Caenorhabditis elegans: one gene and its partner. The protein of the gene in region 2 interacts with the protein of the main gene of each other region in a pairwise test. Each region holds a gene or a part of one and is shown on either strand. Other genes may lie near its edges.

The links.
Region 1: the proteins of slx-1 (region 2) and him-18 interact in a two-hybrid assay, tested with the Caenorhabditis elegans proteins (3 studies listed by BioGRID).

The regions. Positions count from the first base shown.
Region 1 is NC_003281.10:4,712,923-4,716,851, forward strand, and holds the start of him-18 (SAP domain-containing protein), read right to left. Parts: upstream 2,267-3,929; 5' UTR 2,256-2,266; coding exon 2,197-2,255; intron 2,123-2,196; coding exon 2,067-2,122; intron 2,016-2,066; coding exon 1,895-2,015; intron 1,851-1,894; coding exon 1,758-1,850; intron 1,711-1,757; coding exon 1,377-1,710; intron 1,332-1,376; coding exon 269-1,331; intron 177-268; coding exon 1-176. Other genes in the region: emb-5 (Suppressor of Ty 6 homolog), read right to left, coding at 2,665-2,855, 2,908-3,727, 3,780-3,929.
Region 2 is NC_003279.8:5,180,698-5,184,626, reverse strand, and holds the start of slx-1 (Structure-specific endonuclease subunit SLX1 homolog), read right to left. Parts: upstream 1,892-3,929; coding exon 1,779-1,891; intron 1,734-1,778; coding exon 1,355-1,733; intron 40-1,354; coding exon 1-39. Other genes in the region: npp-6 (NUP160 middle TPR domain-containing protein), read right to left, coding at 2,169-2,504, 2,556-2,859, 2,907-3,053, 3,099-3,447, 3,490-3,624, 3,670-3,929. UniProt on the Caenorhabditis elegans protein: Catalytic subunit of a heterodimeric structure-specific endonuclease that resolves DNA secondary structures generated during DNA repair and recombination.

The DNA of each region.
Region 1 (3,929 bases), on a different chromosome or scaffold from region 2:
TTTGCCACTGGTACTGGAAGCTGACATATCATCATCATCTTCTTCATCGTCTCCAACGTCATCACCGCAAATTTTTCCAACTTCTCGCTCGTCATTTGATATATTCAATGTTTTATCACCATCATTATCTTCATCCAGATCATCGGAAACATTGGATACATTTTTGGAAGTTTCATCTGAAACTATTATATAATATTAATATCCTTCTAAAGCAACTAGATAAAATGTCTAGCAATTTTTCAATTTAATTGAAAATGAATAAACTCACCAGAAATAGCATTCTTGACTCCTTGCTTTTTAGGAGAAACTTTCTTCGGCGATGCAATCATTCTTTCACTTAATGTCTTCGTCTTGATTGTTTTCCTTCCACCCTTTCCTCCTTGTTCCGAAACCTTTTCTAAACTTGCAGATCTGACAAGCGGACGAATTGTAGGTGTTCCTGAGCAAATTTCTGGATGTAATGTGATATATGCTTTCTTCAGAATCTGAATCATCGCTTTCTTTCCTTTTGGCCGCATCCCGATCTCTTTCATTCGTTCTTTTAATTCTGCTTCTTCCATTGAATCGAATGCAGGCATTGGAGTTATATCATTGGTCTTCAGAATTTTGACATGGGATCCGAAGACAGCTTTTGAGGTAATGTTGCGGATTGGAGTAATGACATTGGATGTAGTTGGAAGATTTGTAGACGGTTGATTGCTCCATTCATCGAATGAATCCATTGTCACATTAGTAGTTGGTTTCTGTGGAGTAGAGTGTACTGATTCATGTGGTTTATCTTCCATGATTTGTTCTGCATCATCTTCCACATTTTCGACAGCTTTTCCGAATCCAAAGAAAGGATCATCAGATGTGAAGTAGTTCACAGATTTATCAAGTTCGATTGGGTCGCTATGAGACGCAGTTGGCTCTATTTCTACAGGATCAGCTACTACAGAATCTATCTTAGCTTCAGGCTCTACCACGTCCTCAACATCATCGACTTTCTCAAGATCTTCCTCCTTATCATTTTTCACAATCAAGTCTAATCCTACAGGTCCATACTTCGAAGCCAAATCCCTCACACCATCCTTATCATCATCATTCCATTCGATATTTGCAGTGAATACAAATGAAATCCATGCTTTCACAACTTCTTTTGTGTGCTCGACTTGAATATTTTCAGATTTAGGGTTCAGTCTGATAAGTGATGTCCGATGTTTCAAGATCATTGTCTGACATTTTACACGATGACCATCACTGCAGGTAATGAAAATGTGAGTTGGTAATTGTTCAGAATTGTCATCAAGAACTTTTTGCATGTCAGATGAGAGTTGTTCGTATCGGGAAATCTGAAAAAGTGATTTTTTTTAAATTATAATAAACTAGAAAATTACTTTTTCAATCATTTTCTTCATTTGAAACGCATGCTCAGTCACTCCTTCCTCTCGTTTCTTTTGATTTTTGATAGATTTACTGTGAAACTCGTCAATAAATCTTGAATGAAGTGTCGTAAGAACCTCACATTGACACTTTTTCGGTGCCAATTCCACAACTGCAAACGATCGAGGACGCTTCCGTTTTCGGTTTTCCTCATCATCCTCAGCGATTCGTGCAAATTTCACGTTGTTCTTCGATAGCTCCCATGATTTTGGAAGTTCCTGTGGTTTTTCGAAAGGTTTTTCAAATAGATGAGTCTTTGAAGATGGCTTCTCATAAACTTGATCATCTCTGAAATATGTTTTTGCATCACAGAATATCCTTCTACTGAAACTAACTTTTCTATGGTTTCGGTGAGTGTTTTCGATTTTCTTGTAGTTTCCTTCTCCTTCTCTGATTGTTTCGCTTTGCAAACTTTTACATGAATATCTCTAAAATTTGAACAGTGAGAAGAAACACAAATAATATTTCAAACCTTCTGGAATTCATCCAAAGAGTCATATCTCGTGCACACGTCGCACATTTTACAGGTTTCTTAGCCGGTGCTTCTTCATCATCGTCGCTCAGTGTGATCTCTTCGAAAGGAGAAGGAACATCTCAAAAAGTAAATTAATTGATTTAATTGGGAAATTTGATTTGAAACTTACTTTTGTCAGATTCATTTCTTACAATACTCTGCACACTTCCAAGTTTTTGAGGACGCCTAGAAAAAAAGACAGATATTTTTTAATTTACGTTTAGGTTAAATAGATACGACAGAAACAAAAACCTTACTACCTTGGCGCGGATGAGATCGAGTTTTGGGACAGTGCCTTTTTTAGTGATGAATCATTCATATGAGTAGAATCTAGAATACTTTTTTTTCTTCTAAAACTGAATTTGCAATTCTTATTCCAATATCAATTGTGATCAACGCATTCTACGTTTTTTCGTGATGATTTAGCAGTGATTCTGATTACGAAATTTATTGAGTAAACAACAAAAATGGTACTTGAATACAGAAAGAGCTCATGAACAGTATGACTGCTTGAATAAATATTTTGATAGATATATAAAAATGTTTGAAAAGTAAAAATCGAGGATGAACGGATTACCGAAATCAAAACAAATTATGTGGGATTAAGACAGATGGATGTTGTATTCTATAAATTAAAATTAGATCATCGTTGATAGACTGGAACAAAGGAAACAGGATTGAATGTGTCTGATAAGGTGTGGGTAATAAAGAGAATAAGATCAGGGTTTTCAGTGATAGCCGACGAATTGAGGAGGATAGTATGGAGCTGCTGGAGGAGCACCAACTCGATACTGTGGAGCCGGGATCGCAGATCGCCTTAACTCGATGGGAGGCTCGTGGAAATGGCGTTTGAACCAAGCCATCATTCGATCTAGCGTATCAAAGTTTTGATGTCGGAATCGGACTCCATGTGGGACAACTGTAAACAAAAATAGTTGAAAACTTTGTTCGTATCTCTTTTCGAAACTCACTTTTGAAATATTCATGTCGAATCCGTTCTGTATTATCGAACATATAAGAAATACAGAATTGGCATGGCTGTCTGTAGGATGCACTGAATACGTACGGAGATCGTCCCAGCTCTCGTTTCTTCTCTCGTACAAATTGCTCGACTGCTTCTGTTTCTTCGCATGTTCCATTTGGGAAGAAGTACTTGTGAGTTGTTATCTCGTGAGAGATCTGTATCATCGGTTGAACGAATCGAGCAATCAACTCATCAAGATCCTCGAAATCTTCTCCGCCGACTGAGAGTTGCCGACCAATGGAGAAAACTTGATCCTTTGCGGATTCTTTGACAAAGAAATTGTGATAGACGCGGTCACAAATCTTCCATGTCACAGAAAGACCAGAATCTTTATTAGCCGATGGACGAATAATACACTCAGACCAATCCATTTCATCCAACATTTTCGTAGCAGCTTCGTAGGATACATTATGGAAATTTGGATGCGCAATTACTCGCTTCACACGTGTATTTGCTTCTGTCTTCTTTTTCGATTCACTCTTCATCAGTTCCAAATCAGCTTGGTATTGATGCTCATCCCAGTACTGATCACGTTGAGATAAATCATCTTCTTTCAGATCCGAACTCTTACAACTTAGGAATAGTGAGAATCTCTCCTTGTCCAACTTGAGAACTTTGAAGTAATATGGCTGATTTATCTTGACTCGGGTTAATGGATTGTCTACGTGACTTGATGAGATGTTCTTGTTCGGACAGAATCCAGTCATTCCATTGTCAAATCTGACTCGAATTCCGACTGGTGTTCCAGGACATCCACCTTGACGAGACTGAAATAATTTAACATTGGTTAACGAATAGTATTAGTTGAGAAAAACTTACGTCACCGAGCATATGTTCTTGAATTCCACCAGGAGCCGAAGATGTGAACGATTTACAACATGGACAAGTGAAAAGACCATCTTCTCCAACATCAGGTAACATGCTGTCTGCTGCATCTTTGTCAACTTTACGGTACTGCACAGATTGAAC
Region 2 (3,929 bases):
ACAATAAACTCCGTAAAACTCATTTTGAACTTCCTCGATCTCAAATTGGGGGTTTTTGAAATATATTTATTTGAAATACTTGGGGAAGAACACTTTTTACACGGCCATGTGTCGATTTACGCAGCTTGTATAATCCTTGCGGAGAAGTCTTCAATACTTGGTTTTGGATTACTTTATAATTTTTATAGTGTTTTAATTAAGATAAATCGATAAGAATTGGCGAAAATGGTCCAAAACTGTAAAACTATTTTCCGCGAGGAGTAAACGCTCTTCGTAAATGTACAAACGTTCGCATTACGGTAATTATTTTATTTTATTATAAAAACGGGTGGTAAATTGAAATATTAAACTTTGGGGGGTTTTTTTTCTTTTATTTTATTTGTTTTTTTTTCGGCTTTTCGGACAATGGTTTTAAATACAAAATTTAAAAAATATTATTCTTCTGGGAAAAATTCGATTTTTCGGTTTTTAACCTAGATGATAAATTTTGCGATTTTTATACAATACCCAAACTCGAACAGACCAATTGTCGTTCAGTTCAAAAATTGTGCACTTTTAACTAAAACGTTTATAATATAACCGACTAATTTCAAAACAGTTGTCTTCATTTGTCAAAAACGAATAATATATTGAACGATTTTGTATCTTCCCAAAAGTCAGAGTGTAGATGATGGAACCAATTCTGTCTGCCAGGTTTTACAACCATCGAGTACATCTACATCTTCACATGTTCTATTAATATGATTGTAAACAACCTTTAAAAACAAAGAGATTATTCAAATACATTCCCAAAAGACAGAATATAGAGGGCAACAGGCAATGCATATCGCTCTTTCTTATTTTTTACAACCATTCAGTAAGAAACAACACCTATTGTGGAGAACATTCAACCAAACAAATTCGAAACAAGATGATGTATTTACACATTTGCCTAGATTAATTAAAACTTGAACAGAATTTGTTTAAATCTATATAAATTTGGTTTGCGTCGAAAAATCGAAAAATACAAAATCTGGTTTGGAGCTGGCTGAACAGTTTATCTGAAAAGAAGTACTGTAGTTTAATCAACTGCGAAAAGTACTCTTTACAGTACTCCTTAAAGGCGCACATTTCTTAAATCGGTCGTGTCAAGACCGGGTACTGTATTTTTAAAGCAAAAATCTCTGAATTTCGCATTGGGGCAATTTTTTTATTTTAAGTTTAAGTAATTTTTAAGCAAAACCGAACCATCGAAAATATTCCATTTCAAAAAACTTTTAAAAATTTCTGAAAACACACCAAGATCGGTCTTTTTCAACATCAATTCAATACGCTTGACGCTTTCGAAAAAAGTTCAATTTTTCACGAAAATCACCTTTTCCTTGCGTTTCTTCTTTTCAGGACTGAGAAGTGCTCGCAAATTCAGATTATCCTCAATTATTTTGTCTTCATCCTTGGAACAACCTGCTCCTCCGTCACCTCCTTCTTCGTCACTACTCAAATCATGAAAATTATATTCCTTTTGAAGAAAACTGGAGCACGCTTGATTTGTTGGAGGTTGATTGATTGTTTCAACAATCGGTGTGAAACAGCTCATCGATACTGATCGACGACGAACGGATTTTGGAGTTTTCGAGTCAAATTTGCCGGACAGAGCAGGTGTAGATGGAATTGTGAGGGGAACTGTGTCTGTATCTTCTGGAATTATTTCTTGAGTTGTGTCCTGCGACATATTGGAGGCACCGAATGAGAACCTACAAAAAATATTTAATTCCAAATTTTTATTCAATTAAAAAAACCTAATTTTCTTATCTCCACTAAAGCTCCTAGGAATTCCTTCAATTGTTCTTCTTTTTGATGGTGGTGGTCCAGAATCATCATCAGAATCAGACGACAATATGAATGTCTCCATCTAAATTTTATATTTTGTCTATAACGGTTTTAAGCGGCAAAGTATGCGGTAACGGATTATCCTTTTTTCTCTCGGAAATAATAATTTTCATTGAAAATTTCATTCATCTCGTCGTAACCGGATAATATGAGAATGAGAATAAAACAGTAATAACAATCAGCGAAAATGAATATAACACAAAAGATAATCCTTAATTGAAAAAACACCTGTTGAAAATGTGAGATGAAAAGTGGAGAGGAATCAATTTTAAGAAATACAATGGGATAGAAAATATAAATTATTTATCAAAGAATCTACTGCTCATTTTTTGAGCTTGCTCGAAGTCAGCCACTTTTCGGAAATAGATCAACATTTTCTGATCAGCACTTTTTCTCAAATTTGCAACTTCTGCAGCTACTACTTGGTCTTCTGGAGATTTTAGACTCATTTTCCGGATATAATCGGCACTCCTGATCATCAATTCATCAATGATTCCGTATGGAAGCCAGGTTCTTGCATTTGACTGGGAAGCTTGTAGAGTTTCTTGTTCGACAATATCACTGAGAACTTGAAGAGCAATTGAATAACTTTCATAATCCACGAGACATCTAAGGTAATCGTTAGCGTCATTATTCTGAAATAATTGAAAAATATTTTAAAGCTATTCTCTATTCAGCTAACAAACCTCAAAAACACTGTGCAACCAGACAGGAACATTCAGCTTAAAACTAAGAAACGCTTCAGTGGATCCTCGAAGTGGTCTAGAATCTCCAGGCCATTCTGCTTGAGCCGCATCAACCAACCCACGAACCACCGACCAATGTTCTTCAGCGGTAGCGACGGCAGCACAGTGCCTGCGGTTAAGACGAACCCATCCGGCTTGATGAGTTGCTGCCATTTCGATGTTGAGGTCATCCCGAAGAGCATCAATCATTATTGCTTCACGTGTCATGGTAAAGAATAGCCTGTGGGAATCCAGATTGAATTGCCTGAATATATTTATGTTTTATCATCCTCTATCTTTTATAAAAATCACCTTGCAATGTCGAATGCTTCATCAAAATGTTGATTATCAACAAGCAATGAAAATAATTCGTTAAGATCAGTCGGTGGAACTCCCTTGAATTGATCAGAAGAAAGAAGACCAACTCGTGCGGAACATAAGACCAATTCATCACGAATACTGAAAGAAAACAATGAACTCTATGAACAAACTCTAAAGACGTACTCTTTTTCACTGAGAACCAGCAACTTTCTACGTTTGAACAATGGAATACTTCCTCCCTTCATATCATCTTCTGTATCATCAGTATCCATGTCATCCGATCCAAGTGCATATGCCATTTGCCTTGCCTTCAGTGCTACCAAATCTACACCTGTTCCTGACGAGCTGGTTCCATTCGAATTATCAGGTGAAGAATTGTTGCCAGTACCACTTCCACTATCTTTGTTTCCGCTCGGCAATTTGCCATTTTCACCAGACGAATCAGATTCGGTGATCAGCTCATCCTCGTCATCTGAAGGTTCAGGAAATACTAAATTCGTGTCAGTAGCGTCATCGTAGATAGCTCGATCGTCTGAAAAACAAATTTGAGAATAATTTTCAGAACATTAAAAACCGTCTGGCTCCATTCCAAGAACTGATTGCAGGTTGAGCACGACAGCAAGGCAGTCACGTTTTCTGCGGAGAAGTTCGGGGGTCATGCACGTTGTTGACTCGATGTGACGTGCATATTCGTACATTGCACAAGCTCCTGTAAATAAATTAAGTGCGCTTTATTTAAAACTTGGAGAATTACCTTTTCTAAAGTCTTTTCTAGCGACGTAAAACGCAAAGAGTAACTCGAAATAGTGCTTCTTCTCACTTGGTGATTGACGACATGCAGCATCTCTCAAAAAGTCTTCAACAACCTGCTCATGCTCTCCAAACTTCATTGTAGCAATTGCTTCCCATTCTCCACAAGCAAGCATTAGAGATAGAAGCTCGCGAATCGAAGCTCTCCGAGTTTCAGATCGCAGTGTTGTCCTGAGAATAAGCTTGAGTGATTGGAACCACTCA